3 linked regions of the Drosophila melanogaster genome follow. The protein of the gene in region 3 interacts with the protein of the main gene of each other region in a pairwise test. Each region holds a gene or a part of one and is shown on either strand. Other genes may lie near its edges.

The links.
Region 1: the proteins of Rca1 (region 3) and SkpF interact in a two-hybrid assay, tested with the Drosophila melanogaster proteins (one large-scale study listed by BioGRID).
Region 2: the proteins of Rca1 (region 3) and CG13133 interact in a two-hybrid assay, tested with the Drosophila melanogaster proteins (one large-scale study listed by BioGRID).

The regions. Positions count from the first base shown.
Region 1 is NT_033778.4:23,456,206-23,461,654, forward strand, and holds SkpF (SKP1-related F), read right to left. Parts: upstream 2,555-5,449; 5' UTR 2,482-2,554; coding exon 1,966-2,481; 3' UTR 1,860-1,965; downstream 1-1,859. Other genes in the region: CG43795 (uncharacterized protein), read left to right, coding at 285-1,660.
Region 2 is NT_033779.5:10,089,349-10,095,293, forward strand, and holds CG13133 (uncharacterized protein), read right to left. Parts: upstream 3,042-5,945; 5' UTR 2,888-3,041; coding exon 2,234-2,887; 3' UTR 1,860-2,233; downstream 1-1,859.
Region 3 is NT_033779.5:6,849,533-6,855,697, reverse strand, and holds Rca1 (regulator of cyclin A1), read right to left. Parts: upstream 3,384-6,165; 5' UTR 3,277-3,383; coding exon 2,041-3,276; 3' UTR 1,832-2,040; downstream 1-1,831. Other genes in the region: l(2)k09022 (lethal (2) k09022), read right to left, coding at 1-171, 284-1,452.

The sequences.
Region 1 (5,449 bases), on a different chromosome or scaffold from region 3:
AAGGAGAGCGCGTGGGTGGAGCGGTGAAATGGGCGGTGGCGCCCTGACCATCCGCCCAAATCAGCGGCGGGGCACGGTGCGGATGCGTTATGTACTCGTCCTGGCCTTTGACAACTGAAAATGGCAAAAGGTAGCTGAGCAACGGCAGCAGCAGTCCCTGCGAATCGATAACCGCAACACACAAAGTGCTGATCAGCCAATCAAGGCGAGCAACTAAGCGATATAGGGGTGCACTCAAAGCGTCCCGAAAAAAAAAAAAAAAAACTAGAGCCCCGAGCCCCAGGATGCGGATGTGGGTGCGGATGCCGCAGGCTGTGCAGCTGCTGTTTGCGATGGGCTTGTGGGCGATGCAAGGTCACGCGCAGTTGGATTCAGAGCCAGAGGCAGTCGGAGCAGAAGGAGCAGCGGGACCTGGATCCCCAGCGCCACGGAACCGCATCAAGGCGGAAGCGGATGCCCTGATGACAGGCGACAGCTTCAACATTCGCCACGGGCGCTCTCGGTCGCATTTCCTTCATGGCAGCACAAACAGTAGCAGCAGTAGCGGCATTGGGAGTGGCGGTGGGACCACACGCCTCACCCTGATCCCGCCCACACAGCTGCCGGGTGTGGGTGGGACCTCGCCGGCTCCCGTCACGCACAAAATCCGCAAATTGCACAAGAAGAAAATCAACGAGAGCATACGCAAAAGTGTGGACAAAAGTCTGGGCCTCCGCCATACGCCGAAGAATCACCGCAGTTTGGCCGAGGCCGAGCACCTGCAGGGTCGTCCTGCCAGCGAGGACGCCGAGGATACGGCTCTCAGCGAGGTCATGCAGCTAGCGGATGAGATTGAGCTGGAGAGCTCATTCGTGACGGCGGCCCCAACAGGTGATCCGGATATTGGTGTCAAACAGGCACGCCAATTTGTGCGTGATGAGGCCAATTACCAGGAGGACGATGATGATACTATCGACGACGACGAGGAGCTCGATGAGGAGGAGGAGGAGGCTCCAATGTCCACCACCATCAAGCCCAAAATCGCCAGTACCCGCCTGCTGCCGGTGAATGGCACTTGGCAGCGAATGGGCACCATATCGCGGGACTCCCCCCCGGAATCGGATTACGACTCTAATGCCCTGGACAACGCGCAGGAGGACGAGGAGGAGGAGGAGGGTCAACCATTTGGCAAGCTGCTGCCGCTCAACGAAAGCCTCGCCACCACCGAATGGATGGACGATGGGGCTCAGCGGGAACCGGAGGCGGAGGCCAGATCCCAGGCGGCCAGCATGGAGGTCAAGCAGATCAGCTTCGACAGCGATGGCGACTCCGATTCCGAGGCGGGACTGGACACCTCCGAGGTCACCATGGACGACGGCTATCCGCCGGATGCGCAAGTCGATGACAAGACCAAGCAGCTGGTCATTGGCGATGTGGAGGAGGATTCCGGCGACAACATGGAGTCCAACCAGTTTACCGCCGACGTGATTAACGCGCGGGACAGCAAGATCGATCTGGTGTCCAAGTTCCTGCAGTATATCGAGCAGCAGCATCTGATGGGCTCCAACTGCGTGGCTGGTACTTCGCTCAATCTGGGCGAGGGCGTGGTCGACCGGTATGCTCAGGACAGGTTCCGGGTGGAGGCCGAGGTGGCCGTCAATCGCGCCAATATGCTGACCAGGTGAGTGGATGTCACGGACAAAGTTTTCCGAGTTACTCAGCCCACATCATATTCACATGCCAAACTTTTCCAATCGAAAGTTTTCGGCCAGACGGTTGGCGAATGCAAGTGAAAATGGAAATGGAAATGGAATCCGTACTGAACAATTGCGGTCAAGAAAGTAGTGTGCTTTCCCTGAAGGTCATTCGAGGGTCAAGATACATATGAAGGATATTTATGTGATATTTTGTGAGCATAGGTAAGGATGTCGAGTTACATTCTAATCCGGAACAGGCATCAATCCTTCGAAAATGTTCACTTCGAATTTATATAATTTCGCCGTACTCTATCGCCTCGTCCTCCTGCGGGACTTCCGACTCCATCGTCATCAAATCCTCCTCGGAGGGCGAGAAATCGTTGGTTATGTGAAAGGTCTGGCGAATCTCCTCCGTCGTGCGGCCTTTAATCATGTTGGCCACCGTCATGCAGGCGGCGTTCAGCAGATTGGGAATGTCCAGGTAGTTGGCCGCCAAGATGAGTTCGAAGAGCGTGCCCTGATCCATGGACAGGAACTCGGCGTCCCAGGGGGTGATCTGCACAGCGACGGACTTGGCCGCTTCCTCTTCGTTCTCCTCTGCAATGTCCTCGCGATGATGCTTGGCCCAAATGAGGACCTTCTTCAGGATCGTCGAGTTCACATTGGGCAGCGGGATAAGAGTGTCGTTCTCCGCTTCCACTGGACAATCCTCCAATAGGGTCTTAATGGTGCTCGAGCACTTGGCAGTCTCGATGTCGGTCTCGAAAATTTCGCCATCGGAGGACTGCAATTTGATGACTGGCATGGTCCGTTTTCGCCCACAAAGGGTTTTCCTTTAAGGTTATCTGGTACAGTTCAACTTTTCAAGAAAATCTGTCAGTGCCAACTTGACAGTTAAAAATTAAACAGAACAGATTCGTAATGGAAACAAATTGGTGATTCATCAAATTCAAACAAATGTCCATGGAATGGAGATAGCATTTATTAACAATTTAGACAACATTTTTATTTCAATATAACGAGCAAAATCGATTAGATATTGGCAGAAATACACAATTTTAGTTTCATAACATATTTATTGTTGTATAAGTAATAGTTGATTGCCGCTTACAATGGTATTTACCATGTTCTACACAATGGACATTTCAATTGCAGCACAATTTATTGCTGTTTGTTATAACAGAAAAATATGAAATATTTAGGGCCCATTTCGAATACGGAAATAAAAACAAAACCAGGGATTTGGCCTCCATTTTCCCTTTTCAATTCACCATCGCTCATTGCTCGGGGTTCACTTTGCAGCAGATACTCGCCATTTTCTGCTCATCTAGATTGGCCCGTGTCCTTTGTCAACAAGGAGCATAATGTGCTTTTCTTGTTGCGGTGGCTCTCGTCGCTTGTTGGCCATAGTTGGCAGAACTACCATCGCTTTCCCTGCGATTTTCCTTCGATTTTTCCGTCCGCCTGGCTGCGTGCAATTTTTTGATAAAAGTTCAATTACTTAGCGTGGCAGGCGTGCCGAGCAAAAAGTTTGCACCATTCTTGTGGCCAAAACGGAAGGCCAGCTGGCGGAGGACATTGATTTACCTGGACAACCAAAGCGATGGCAATTCATTTGGTTTTTCTTGGAATTTCCAGCTGTCCAGGCTGGCCAAACGGAGCAAGCTGACCAATCTGATGTGTGTGCTCATTGTTTACTCGTGTCCATTCCGCTTCCATCATCGATTTGGCAGTGTATCGTGTATCAGGATAACCGCCCCAGTGACAATCCCAAGGACATGCCAGCCCAGCTCCCATGTTTTCTGAGCTCTTCTTTTCTTCGGCAGCTCTCTCTCTCTCTGTTCAGCAGCCAGGCACAATAAACACAAAGTTTCTTCAGATTTCGCATATCTGGGTATGAAGTCCGAGCACCAAAGTTACGGACTCCAAAGTCCTGTGTGTTCCAATGTCCAAAGTCCAAAGTCCAAGTGTACGAATGTCCTTGCCTGCATGCACGCATCGTATGTGTCAATGCCGATGGGGATGTGCTCCGTGCAGACATTAGACCTGGAATTTATGTCCTTCTGTTTTTCTTGAGTGTCTTTGTGGCAAATAGCAATAGAGAAATCAGCAAAAAAGCAAACTTTTTCTGAGCCAAAACGAGGGCAACGTGGGTGTGTGGCTGGCTTCGTGCAACAGGCCATTGGATATCGTCCAACCGTCGATGGTCACCAAATTCCGATGACATAATTTTCCAGCTTAGATGACAACTTTTTGTGCGCTGATTGAGCCAGGAAATCAAAGCCATTTGTTAACGAAAAACTCATTTGTTAAAAGCCGCACAGAAAGGACGACAGGACTACAAGCTGATGAATCCAAGGAACGATTGCCGCTTGTCAATAAAACGCACAAATAAACAATTAACCCAAACGACTAGCAGCTCGACAAATTAAGTGACAGAGGGGAAAGGTCGGTCGATAGCGAGGAAAGGCGGGAAAAGGAGAGAAAAATGGGAAATGCGGACAATGTCGTAACTTGGCCTGGGGAGCAATAAAATGTCAAAGACTCACTGTCAATAAATTAAATTGCAAACGGCCACGGATCTGGCACGGGATCAACATTATTGCATTTAGTGTCATATGCCAGGCATTTGTTTTCATTATTTGTTCAGCGGGGAATGTGGCCTCTGGGACTGAACTCCACTTCCTTGATTTATCCAGCTCGACATCCATAAATCCAATGGATTGCCCAGATACTGGTTCATAATTGCAGGAGGGATGGCGGCTAATCAGGACCCGTATTAATCAGTTTTCCTTGTGTTAACATAATCAAGGATGGCCGGAAACTTTTCCTTCAGCGGAAAAAGGGAAACTCGAAGGAGGAAAGCAAAGGGAAATCACAGGGAAAGCGCTACACAGATAGATACTAATTGAAGTTATTGTTTTGTGATACATTGTTATCGCCCTGCCAGCAAGGGATCCTGTTCCGTGTTGCCGCTCGCTTTTTGGTTTGGGCATTTCCCGTTTACTTTGTTGCGCAAACAAAAACAAGGATAACATTTAAGGAAAACAACGGGCGGCAGGAGCAGAAGGTGAGCCCAGGGGGCGGGCTAAATGGCAGTCAGGAAAAACAATATCAATTCAAGTTGAAATTACGAGCTTCAATTGTTTTCTTGCCTTGGCCACTTTTCGTTAGTTTCCGTTCACGCCGCCAAAGTGCAGACGGCAAACAGAAAGGAAAAGCGACTTTAGCTCGTCGCGCACACACACACGACACAAAAGCGCTGAGGGGAAAGGAAAATTGTGGCAGTGTGGCAGTGTGGCAGTGTGGCAGTGTGGCGGTGTGGCAGTGTGGCAATGTGGCGGATGGAATCGGAAAACTTTTAAGTACTTAAATGTGTTGTCGTCGCGCAGAGAGAAGGTGAGAATCATGCGAAGGACCTGCTGCCGCCATTTTTTTCATGTTTCGAAATTGAGTTTCCGGTTGCCTGTTCTCTGCCAACAAAACTCCTTTGTTGCTACAACTGGCTTTTGCGACTTCAAGTGCACATCTCTCTTATTTGCCAGGCAATGATTTTGTTATTTTCCAGCGGAAGTTCGGCGATAAACTTGGCAAATAATTTATTGCCAAAGCCGTCGCTTGTTTCAACTTGCAATGCCTTTGGAATTCGAGTGCCGTTTGCGTTCCAGCTCGTACAACAAATCGAAATTGAAATCTGCATAAGCGATGCAGTTTCCAATTGCCAGCGGCAATAAAACGCGACAGCAGCAAGGACATCCCCACCCCCCGAAGCG
Region 2 (5,945 bases), 3.2 Mb from region 3:
CAGTATTCTATCCCCCTAGAGAGCTCCAGTTTCCAGCTCCGTTACCGTCTAATGTCGCATCAATTTGCGTAATTAGGTGTCCCGTCCTTCACGCACACCGTCAACTCATCTACAAGTTGGCTAATCCCCGGGGATATTTGATTAGTAGTGGTAGTGTGTGATTGAAAAGTTGCCAGCAGAACATTCCAATCGGCGCCCGCAGTGGATCAAAGGGCATAGAAAATAAAAATTAGTTGTGAGCCGCATACCGATTTCTGCGGAGTCGCGAACCGGGAAATATAAAAACCATGAAACAACAATGGAAATGGCCCATGGCGATGGTCGATGATGGTCAATGTTTTCTCTAGATCCCGGGAGCGGAAGAGGTGCATATGGGTGCGTTTTTATGGACAACAAGGCTGTAGGCCTCATCCAGTTATTTAAGCACGGACACACGCACAATATATATATATATATAAAATATACGATTCCGATTCCATCGGAGTGTTTTATGAGTTCATAAAATGGGTGTGTAGGTGTTTATTATCGTTGTGTTATTTTGGTTTGTCCCCGCCGTCACCAATATGGCATGGGAAATTGAAATTGTGAAGTTGCTTTTCTGCTGAATATTTTATCGCGCGTCCTTCGCCATACTCGTAAATATATGAATATCCTACGGCCCGGAAAGTGAGTCCCCCGACCAATATCTTAAAGCTGCAGGCATCGTAACTAGATTAGAAAACAGGCAGTCCGTCCGGGCATCCGACAGGATGGGCACTACGTTCGGGGATTCCCCTCTTAGTCGAGGGCGCCATATAAAAACTTTATTAAACGCAACTACGCATAAAAACAAAACGATGACAAAGTGTACGCGACCTCGTCTCCTCAATTGGCAATTTTTTCAGCTGCCGCGCTGCGGCCTGCAACAATTCACTTCAAGATGTAGCAAATTTCATTAGAATCGTAACGGGAAAACGTGTCTCAACGGCTAAATTGCAAGGGACCAAGACCGAATCAAAAACGGAGCAGTAGCCCACGATTTTGGGAGAAGGTCGAAGGCTTGATTGGGTTCTTATGAAGTGGGTCACACGCCCCAAAGTGCCCAGCCTTTTATTTTTTTGGTGCAAAATATGTTGGAGCTTAAGATTGTTACCCAACTATTTTTAAACTTATTCTGCAGATAGTAAATCATTTCATCTGACATTTAATTGCAAATCTTTTCATGTATCTCATAGCTTTTGAAAAGAGCTTTGTAGCTATGTTTTATTCCCTTTTTTTTAGAATTTTCTTGGGTCGATAGCCAAACTAAAATACATATGTACGTATGCCTACGTCTATTATACACTTCTAGCTGACTAGCTGGGTTTCTTTATTGTCTTTTTATGGGCCATGTGCCCGAGGATACGAACACAGACAAGAAAAACACAAAAGGTGTTAGTGAATTTTATTCAAATTTGACGCTAATCAAAAGCTGCGTGACAGGAAAGTTAAAAGCAGCGAGAAATCCAATTCGCTTGGGTTTTGAATTCGAGCTGAAGTTTTCCCAGAGGCATGATTTATCCCTGATTTGGGTTTGTTTTCCCGATTAGCTGGAGGATATTTTCATTCGGATTGTACTTGAAATAACAACTTGGTGGAATGAAACATTGTTATCTTTAAATACCTTGATCCGATTTGATTTAGAATTCATTAAATGTAAATATATTTTCCAGTGAAATGTTCATCTTCATTATATTTAATAATTAAGCTCGAAGAAAATGAACAGCCATTGCAAAATACAGTACAAAATAAAACAGAATACCGTTTAAATAAATGATAAGATTAAAGGTGTTAAATTATTTCTTCGAAAAATCTGGAAATATTCAAAACTCTCCTGTTTTCTGATAAAGTCCTTTATTGGCGTTAAACAAAATCACAAGCGGATATGAACTCTTAAACGTTATATTGAAGCTACCTTAAGAAAATTCTACAAAATGTTGACTTCGCCATATTTGCTCACGTTTCGAACGAAGGACTACGTGCTATCTAAGCTGGAACCCAGGAACAATCCGAGTGATTTTGGTTTCCACGAAAAACTCCAACGTGCATGTGCGCCAGGTGACTGGAATGTGCTTCGACTGTCTCTCCGTCTGATATACTGCAACTGCCCTCCAACCGATCGACTGCCTCTGGCGGCCTAAACGCATTTGGACTTCCGCCTCCACTTTGGTATGAGCAAGCGGAACCGCCGCGCAACCGCCAGACGTCGCCGGCTTCATTTGTCCATCGCCGTGCCAGCAGGATTAGCCTCTCCACCATCGCCGTCCACATCCGCCTGCTCGATAGCCTTGGGCGCCGTGGGATCGGACACGCTGCCAAAGTAATTGCCCGTGGGCTCAATCTCGATCTCGCGCTCCACGTCGTCCAGTTTCGGTGGTGCTGGCACCGTAATCATCAGTATTCCGTCCGCAGAGAAGGTGGCCCGTGCCTGTGTGGCATCGTAGTGCCGTGGTAGCTTGTAGGATCGCGTAAACTCGCGAGTGATGCACAACTGACCCTTCTCCGCCCGGTCATCCGCCTGCTTGCCCTCCACGCACACGGTGTCGCTGTTTTTGGCCTTCACCGTGAGCTCAGAGATCTGAAAGTGGTGCACGTCCAGCACCACCTTGAAGGTGCCCCGACCCAGGGAGTCCGGTTCGGTGCCGGTCTCTATGACCACTCGCCCAACCAGACAGGATCCATGGCACCAGGCACTGTCGTCCATCCGCAAGTGAAAGTCCCGCGCACATACGTCCAGGTCGTGGGAGAGATAGTAGTGCCTCTGCCGGCACTTGGACTCCCCGGTGGACCAGTGGCGACGCGGCGGTTGCCAGTGATGGTGACCATGCTCGTGATCATGCTCCCAATCCCAGTCCCAGTGGATGGGCATGACTGCGCCACCGGTTCCCGATGCACGGACTCCGGTTCGTTGGACACACGGAGCAAGCGTGTTGATTTTTGGCTTATGTGGCCAAAAAAACCGTTGCCCTCCGCCCGGTTCGACTCTTACAAGCTAACTGAGTGGATGAGGTTATGGTAATCGCTGGAACTTGGAGCTGCACAACTGTACCTGGCACCAAAGCCACTCTAACTGAGCATATTTCTGTTCCACCTTCAATGGCGTTTTTAAGTACAGTGACTCTTCAGTAGGTGCGACTCCAATTCGATGCAGGAAAGGATCATTTAGAAACATGCACGTAAACCAAAAGATATTCTTTTAATTAAGTTGGCTACAGGTAAATGGCTTTTTACTAAGTGATAACTCTCAATCAGTTACATATATCAGGATTTTACTGTATCGCGTTCCTTCAGTGGGACACGCGTTCCCGGGAAAGTGGGTCTCAGCCTTGTCCGACAACTCGAACTGTTTGATCAATACCCGTCCCACCAGCAGTCCAATCAGCCGCGGAGCTTCGTCCTTTTATTGCACAAGCGGCGCCAAGGAGCCGGAATCGGAAGACGGGACAAGGAGAGCACAGTGCACACAGCGCGAGTTGAGCCAGTTATGAGATAATGCCAAAAATTTTGAATCAAACCGAGTGCTGGAGGAATGGCGAATGGTGTCACTAATTGTACCATTGTCACCCCGCCACGGGAAGAGCAAAGCAAATCCGAGCAACTGAACTCGGCAGACGAGTATGGCAGACGCATTGTGGCAAATGAAACTAATGAAAATCGTGACCCCACAGCAACATTGGATACTTATGCACTAAGAGAAACTGCATGGATATCTATGAAAATCGAAAGCTACTCCATGAAGAGTGGCAAAAGTCCTTGTTAAAATTGTATACTTATTTTAAAATTTGAAATACACTTTTTTTAGTGCGTTTTTTTTTTCAGTGTGACTGCAGTGCTATCCAAACAGCTGTTAACAGGGTGCTATCTTTTACGGAAAATATGGCAAAAGTAAGCAACCAAATTTTCTGATTGGCTGTAGATAATGAAAGCTGCGTCGGATTAAATTTCCCGCCAAATCCTTAAGGCTCGTGGGACCAAATTACAACCACTTCCTCTCGATTTGCACCCTGTATTCGATAGCTGTATTCCATTGTCCTTAGACGACGACGACGACATCGTCGTTGCGTTGTCAAGACAGTTGTTGCCTCTTTGTTGCTGCCATTTTTGTACCACTGCTGCCCCGGGTTGAGCCAATTTGTAAAATATATACGATATATATTTTACTTATGTCTGGTGCTGCTGGGGTCAGGCAATTTGGCTGCTCGCGCTGCATGGCTGCTGAAATTGAATTTTTGCTTTGGCTTTTAAGCAAGTTTGACAAATTTTCAGAGCACGGCCAAAAGTGACTGCAACAGTTTCGTTAGCTTCCAAGCCAAAAGTCGATGTTTTCTTGGCCAAGGGAAAAGCAGAAAAGTCAAAAGGGGATGGGGGCCAAGGGGTAGATGGGTTTGAAATTGCATTGACAGGCAGTCAAGCCCTTCCACTTCATGGCGCTGGGACAAATATAGATTACGCAAGTGCTTAGGGTTAAGCTAATATTAGCAGGAATCTAAATTCCTTCCTCAAAAGGTCAATTGGTTTGCTGGCTACAAATTGTGCACCGCTTTTACATAACACATCGATGCCAAAGACGTCAGAGAAACGTACAGAGCTTAGTTTTTAGCAAGCTCCTGTTGATCGAATTAGCTGGAATTTGTTAGGCAAATAAAATGTGGGAAAAATGGATCTTTGTTGGCTGCTTTTCAGTCTTGAACTCAGTTCAATTCAGACTTTAAAGGTGTTCGCAAGCTTTAAGTAAGCAAAAAGTGGTGTAGTTTGCACAATAAAAGGACCTCGATTATTTCAAGCGATTAAGGATATTTTTGAAAAGTAAAATCCAACAATTAAGACAATCGAAGTTGGCTTAATGAGAAGTATTTGCTTAGCCGCTGCTTCAATAATTGTATTACTACTGTTGTGGCACTTAATCAGCCCAACGGCCTTGTAGTCCTGCAAATCCTCGCCCCAGATTGCAAAGGACACAGGATTAGGGGCGCAATTAATGACCGTGGCCATTGATTATTTTACACACATGTGTGTGTGTGTGTGTGTACCTACCGCCTTCAAATGGCAATTGGAACGCCAAGGCATGTTAATCAAAGCCACCCCTGTTTTGGGAGTTTGGGGCCAGTTAGCCATGGTTGCGGGCCTCTTGGCAACCAGCTTTGGATGCCTTAGTGCCGTGATTGGAAAATAATTGCATTCATTAAGTGGGTTATTGCCTACGACGCTTGCGATAAACATCTGCTAACTGGGTCACAATTTCGGCGACTGGCAATCCAATAGATTAACGGCCGAACGCCTCAGTTTGCGGGCTTAAAGGTATCTGTATCTGAACATAAGGTTCGTTACACTTGGCCACAACGGATTGGTTGATAGTGTTCCGAAAGCTCGAAACTTCATATTCTTAAAATGTAGTTAATGTTACTAGATATGTATACTTATATTTATTGTCCTTTATCTAAGTCTAAACACAATTACTTTATACGTGCCTTAAGCAAACTGTCTAAATGTGCCAATTGGTTGCCAATAGCCATCGGTGGTAACTAATCAGTAGATGGCCAGTATTGGCCATATTTCGATAATAAATAGCATTTGCCCAAGTGAACATCTCCCTGCGGTGAAATCAAGCATTAAAAATTCACTTACTTCCGGTTATTTTAGTACGCAAAAGTAAAGTCATCGGACGGATTTAATGTGTAGTCGTTTGTATAATGCAAAGTTGGTAAATGTCCAAATGAATGACTTCACTCACTTCACTTTAGTTAAAATATTTACTAATACTTGCCTACCCTCCATTTGCGGGGATTTTGGGTGGAGTAAAACACATGTTTGCGGCTTTGTACGGCAGTCATTTTTTACACATCAATGCGTCCGAGTGGGCCACGCAAACTGGGCGAAACTGAAACTGATGGAAGGTCTGCCAGCCACGTGGAGGTCCTGCAGCAAAC
Region 3 (6,165 bases):
CGTCTCTCCAGCTTCTCGAGGTAAGTGGAATACCAGGCTTGAAAGGTGGTCTTTTCCGTCTCGATCTCATCATCCGAATCAATTACAATGGTATCGTCATCTTCGTTTGAGTTAGTTTCCATGGGCTCTGGTGCATCGATCGCAGTCTCTACATAAGTATCCAAAAAGCAACTGAAATGGTTAAAGTATATATGTTATTTAAATCGGAACAGCTGAATCGTTTTAAATTCAAGTGTATAAACTCTTATTTTTATTATTTTCGATCGATACTTCTAGTACTCACTTGATCAGTTGCTGAGCAGTCGGCTTTGGCATTGGCACCTCTGACAGCAGGTTGTCCAAGAACAGTTTGCATGAGTTAGAAGAGGCGTCATCGTCCCGAATGGCGGCCACGGCTCCGGTCATGAGTGGCATGCAGATAGACTGGATGGCGATGTTGCCTTTGGCCAGGGAGGACAGAGTGGAGATAAGCCACTTCTTCCCAACCAGATTGAGTATGGTTTCCGGCTTAAAGTGCGGCAATGCGGCTTGCTGTTTGCCATAGATGCAGACAAGCAGGAGCAGCGACTCACTGTGAAGCCTCTCAAACGGGCAGTTGGCCACGCGTTCCAGCAGGGCATTGCACACCTTGCTCTTGAGCTTGGTGCGGGAAACAAGCTGAGCAACGATCACATAGGCGGCCGCCATAAAGTCGATATTATCGGAAATCAGGCCACGAAGCAGCGACTCCAGAATAGTGGTGATGTGCCAGTCCTGCAGTGGTTTGGCCGTTTGCAGGGCGCCAACTACGACGGTGGCATAGAAGTTGATCTGGGCTTGCAGTTGGTGGGCTCGAGGACCCAGTTCCTTAACCGCCTTCTGGGTACTTTGGCAGATGAAGCCGAGGAAGGCGGGATTGCTGGCGGCTCTGTTAATAATAGCAGTCTTGGCTAGCGGAACGCCAGGACGCTGCAACGGGCGCAGCCAGTACCAGTCGCCATCCGATGACCGGAGCCTCATGGTCTTAACGATCTGGACAAAGATCATTGTCTCGTGATAGGGCAGAATCAGGGCCATAACTTCGCTACGGTTATACTCGTGAACCTGGAATCGTCGCAGCAACCATTCGAAGGCCATGTGTGCGGGGCGGAGCAGAAGGTACGGCGAAAGAAGGCGCAGAAACTTTGCAATGGCCGCGTCCAGCATCTTGTTAATCTCCGGCAGCTCCACGGAACGCTCCAGCGTCAATGTGGCCTCATCGAACAACGTTAGCTGGAACTCCTTGAAGGCCGGATTAAAGTCGGTCAGCTCCTGCAGTCCCGTTAACCCGATCTCATAAATGGACCGCCGATCCTTGGTGGCCGCCTCCTTGGGATCGAAGAGTATGGAGGCGCGACTTCGTGCATCTGCCAAAGTTACCGACGACTGCGGCGCAGCCAGTTTCTGCAGCTGCTGTGCCAACGCAGTACTCATTTTGGATGATCGTTTTTTCCTTTTTTCTCAAGTTAATTAAAGGTAAAAACGGAGAACAATAAATGTGCGGCAACCGCACTCCACACGTGTTTTGTTGGTGTGGCCAAAGATCTCTTGGCAGTACACAAAGTAGCTTACGGTAAATAGCGCGCATTGGCGTTAGCCAAGACCCAAACCAGTATACTACAGCTGATTTTAAACATTTTCTGTTTGAATTTATTTTATGCAATGCAATCAATAATAATAAAATATTTTTAAGACTTGCCTAACATATTAAGGCTGCCTTTGAAGCCTGTTATAATGATGTATAATAACAAAGCCTTACATGTTAATAAACAGGAATCACTTTCCCCCAGTTATAATTATAACAATTATAGTTCTAAAAATGATTTATATATTTTGCATGTGTAAAAAATACTTAATCTCGCAGAGGTACAGAATTCCGACAAACCTTACATGGAACGATTTAAAAACATATATATGAATGTACGTGATGAAATGGAACTTAATGCGATGGACATAATACGAAATTAATGAGATTTAAAAAAATCGAATACTAATCGTAATAGTTAAAAGCCTATGATAAAGCTAAAAGCAGAGCCGCTTGAGCGAGTTCTTCCTTGTGATTTTCGGATCACGGTTCTGGGCACGTTGTGGCGGCGTCAGTCGCTCCCGTGGCATCATCAGTTTGGATGGTGTGTCCAGTTCGGTGACCAGGCAACGCTCGCCGGGATGCGACTTGCACAGACAGTTGACGCAGAACCGAAACTGGCAGATGACACTGGTGCATTCGGCGAAGTTATATGGCGGTCCTTGCGGTGAAGTCCTGACCTCGTCAAGATCCAGGGACAGGAAGCGTTTGAGAGGCGGACCCGTCATGCAGGGGAATGTGCTGGTTGTACGTCCAATAGGCAGAGTTTGCGACAATAGGTTTTCGCCACACTTGGCCGCCTCGCTTATGAAAACCCGGCTGCCTCGACCGCATCGCGGACACTTGACGCGCTGCGTCTGCTCGCGCAGCACCCTTCCGGCATCCACGTCCATCAGGTGGATGCTCGAGTTGCCCGAGTCCATTAGCGAGGCGGCGCTGTTGGCCAGGCTGCTATGGTTCGAGGTCTGCAATGGCACTGTGTGGTTTGCCTTGGGCACATGGCTGCACCGCTTGGGCACGTGAGGATTCTCTTTGGTTAGATTCAATTTGAGTCGGTGGTTCTGTAGGCGCTCCAAGTCGCGTTGGCTGCGATAAACAGCCTGCTTCCAGGCCGGCGATACCTTGGTCATCACGTCCAGCGTGTGGGCGCCCACATGACGCAGTATGCACTGCAGTGCCGGTTGCCATTGCGCCAGCTTGGCCACGATATCCAGCTTTTCGACACCGCCGTAGAAGCGATTCTTGGGCGGTTCTTCTATGTGGGGAAAGAGCAGCTTTTTGGACTTCTTGGGGCTACTGTGTGGCGATTGAAAGTGTTTCTTGCGTCGCTTGGGCAGACTATGCTCATCCTGCAGACGCGGAGTCATAGAGAAAGGCTCCTCCTCCGCGGAAAATTTCTTTTGGGGCTGTGTTCTGGGATAGGGCTTGCCCCAGTAAAGGTCCTGCTCCTGGTGGCCACTGGGCGTGTTCAGCCCCCGAAAGAATGTTGTGGTATTCGATGCATTGCGACAGTTTTCGCCCTCAGCGTCCTCCAATAAAAATGGCGTCTCCGCGGTGGAATTGTGCAGCGCCAGGAAGGATGTGTAGCCAGACTCGTTCATCTCCAACTCGAAGGATGACCCTCGGCTTGGGCTCTTCTTCCGCAACGCCGCGCGCCGATAATAGGCGCTCATCTTGACCGAATTTTAAACTTTCGAATTGTTATGCTTTTCGCATCGGTTGATTGTTTTTGGGTACGGATCAGTGTGACCGCCCCAATAAAATACTAACTGGCTACTAAATAGATACCAGTTCATTGTCGGGTCAACTCAGAATGCTACGTATCGCGTTGCCAACCATTTGATATATATTATCGTGACTGTTAGGCAAACCATTTAAACTTGTGCATTAAAAGATGCCACTTGATCGGATTATTGGAATCTGACAGTTAATCGTAGACTCCTATTAACATAAGCAACTTCAGCCATTTATAAACATGTCTAAAAGAGTTCAAGCTGTACAAGATTTGAGGTTCTGGAATAAGATAGCGTTTTTTCATTCTATGCAGTGTGTACATACTTCCATATTAGCGAGTACACATTCCAAAGCTAGCGAAGACGCACTTGCGACTAATGCTCTCGAAAAAAGAAGTAAAATAAAGAATAAGAGTGATAAATAATATGTATAATCAGTTCATTAAGTTAAAAACACCAAGAATTTGACTTTCAATAAATTATATTTCCATGCCTTACGCCATAAGTATAAAATAAATACCTATATACTCAGCTTATTGCTTTAATACCAATTCGAAAATAGAAAACTTTCACTTATTAAATATGGAAATAAGTAATAGTTTGAAAACATTCACTTTATAAAAACGGGATTCCGTTTAACATCTTATATATTATTATTATATTATTATATTATATTATATTATTATATTATATTATATATATTAAAAGTGTATTTCATCGTCTTAGCTTTGAAGACATTGGTAAAATTATGTTGATAAGCTTATAAAAATACTCTCGATTAGCTGACATATGGTGCTATTTAAATTTCTACGCCTATAACAAAAAGATTTTAATCGAACATAAGTATATCTATATCTATTAAAATTGAAATCATTACAAATTATTTTATGAGATATGTCTTCTGTTCCCTGTTTGGCCCAATCAAAATTCGGCAGTCAGGATAATCTGGCCTTGGCCATCATCAGTGTCATCAAATTAACGAAAATCCCTCAATAATTTATCATTTGTTCTCCCTGACTCGTCCTTAGATTTTTTCCGTTCCGCTTCCCTCATCTTCTTCTTTGCCGCGTCCTTTGTGCCCACTGACAAATTTGCCAGCTCAAGTTTTTTGTGCAAATCATGACGGGGCATAGATTTGGGATTCATGTGAAAGTCTTCCTTCGCCGCTAGGTGGATAGTTTCGTCAGCTGTCCATAGAGTCAGCTAAATGAAGCCCCATGACCCACCACCACTGGCCAACCCATGCTCGTGCCCATTCCCATTCCAAGGACCATTTGCAACCGCCCGACGACTTCATCCACTTGCTGGGAAAGATGAGAGGTCGAGAATCTGTTGTGGTTGCCGGGGGAAAATCAATGAATGATATTTCCTTTATGAGGCTCAATTATTTGCTGCGGGGATTTGCTATTCTACCCCGGATTCTGTCATCTGGTTCGTGCCTCATTGTCCTTCTAAATGCTTTGGCAAAATATTTTGGGTATTTGCGCTGCCTTTTGTCGGCCAGCAGCTTCTGCGTTAATAATTTATGAATACTTGCTCGTTTATTGTTTTGCATTATTTATGGTTTTATTATTTGTCTATTTGCTGCCACCAAAAGGGGCGTGTCGGCGGGCAAAGATTTTGTTTTGATTTTAATTAAATCGACGGACAGACGCACATCGGCTTAATTTAAAGTCATTTGACTGTTCTAATCTCTTTTCCACTGACCGGTTTGCCCATCTTTTTTTTTTTTCGGGCGTGGATATGGCAGCATATTAATTGTCGTCGTGGCTTTGGGATTAATCTGTGGTTCATTTGGTTCGGTCCTGGGAAGTCGTGGTCACCCTGTTTGCTTTGAGATCAGAGGGATGTTAACTAATGACTTTGTCAATGGGAGCCGAATGAGTCGAACTAGGGATATGTGCTAGGCATTGATTTATCTTAGGTGTATATAGAAGATAACTGCAATGATATTTAAAGTATTATATAAAATATTACAAGATTTGCTAGAAATAATATGTTGTTGGTTGAATAATGAAGTAGTGCTCTTGCACTCATAAATATTGTTTTCAAAAATAAGTCTCAACTCATTTCCTTGACTTTACTTTAAGGACTTACATTACTTCCTGTACAAATCGCGACTTTACCATACCATGAATCTATTTGCCTTGTCCTGCTTCGAGAATGCTAACTAACCTTCACCCCAAAAACTACTGTCAACAGAACACAATTCCTTATGGCTGAGGGAAAATCCTTGAGGCAAGGCAAATCCATGTCCAAAAGGTCGCGACATATGTAGCGCATATATGCATACATATGTTTTGATGTGGAGCTATGTTTGCACGGATATTGATATGCGGCTGATTAATTTGAGTTTACGCACCAGAACGACCCGGAATGATGACAAATGGGGGAAAGGAAGGGCAGCTCCTGTCAATATTTGCACTCAATCCGTACATATGCTCTAATTATTATCCTTTTGGCAGTGGGCAGTGCCCTGTTTTGGCATTATGTCGCTGCACGCACACCCATTCCACTCCATTGGTGCTTTAACCCATGACAGCCCGATCAAACATGGGTCGGTCGCTCGAATCAACTAATTATGGTAATTTACCGCGGAATGTCAACAAATATTTTGTAACCGGTTATTTTATCGCACGGCCGCGACTCACGTAAGTCCTTCGACCAAGGAAGGAAGTCACCCATCCACACTGGACACACTGCAACTGGAACTGAAGGTGGAGGATGGAGGATGGGGTGGAGTTGGAGATGGAGCTGGCCAGGATGGCATTGTGAGTTGTCGTGGCTTGGAGCTGGACGGGGCAGTCGGAGCATTTGACAAACGATGTT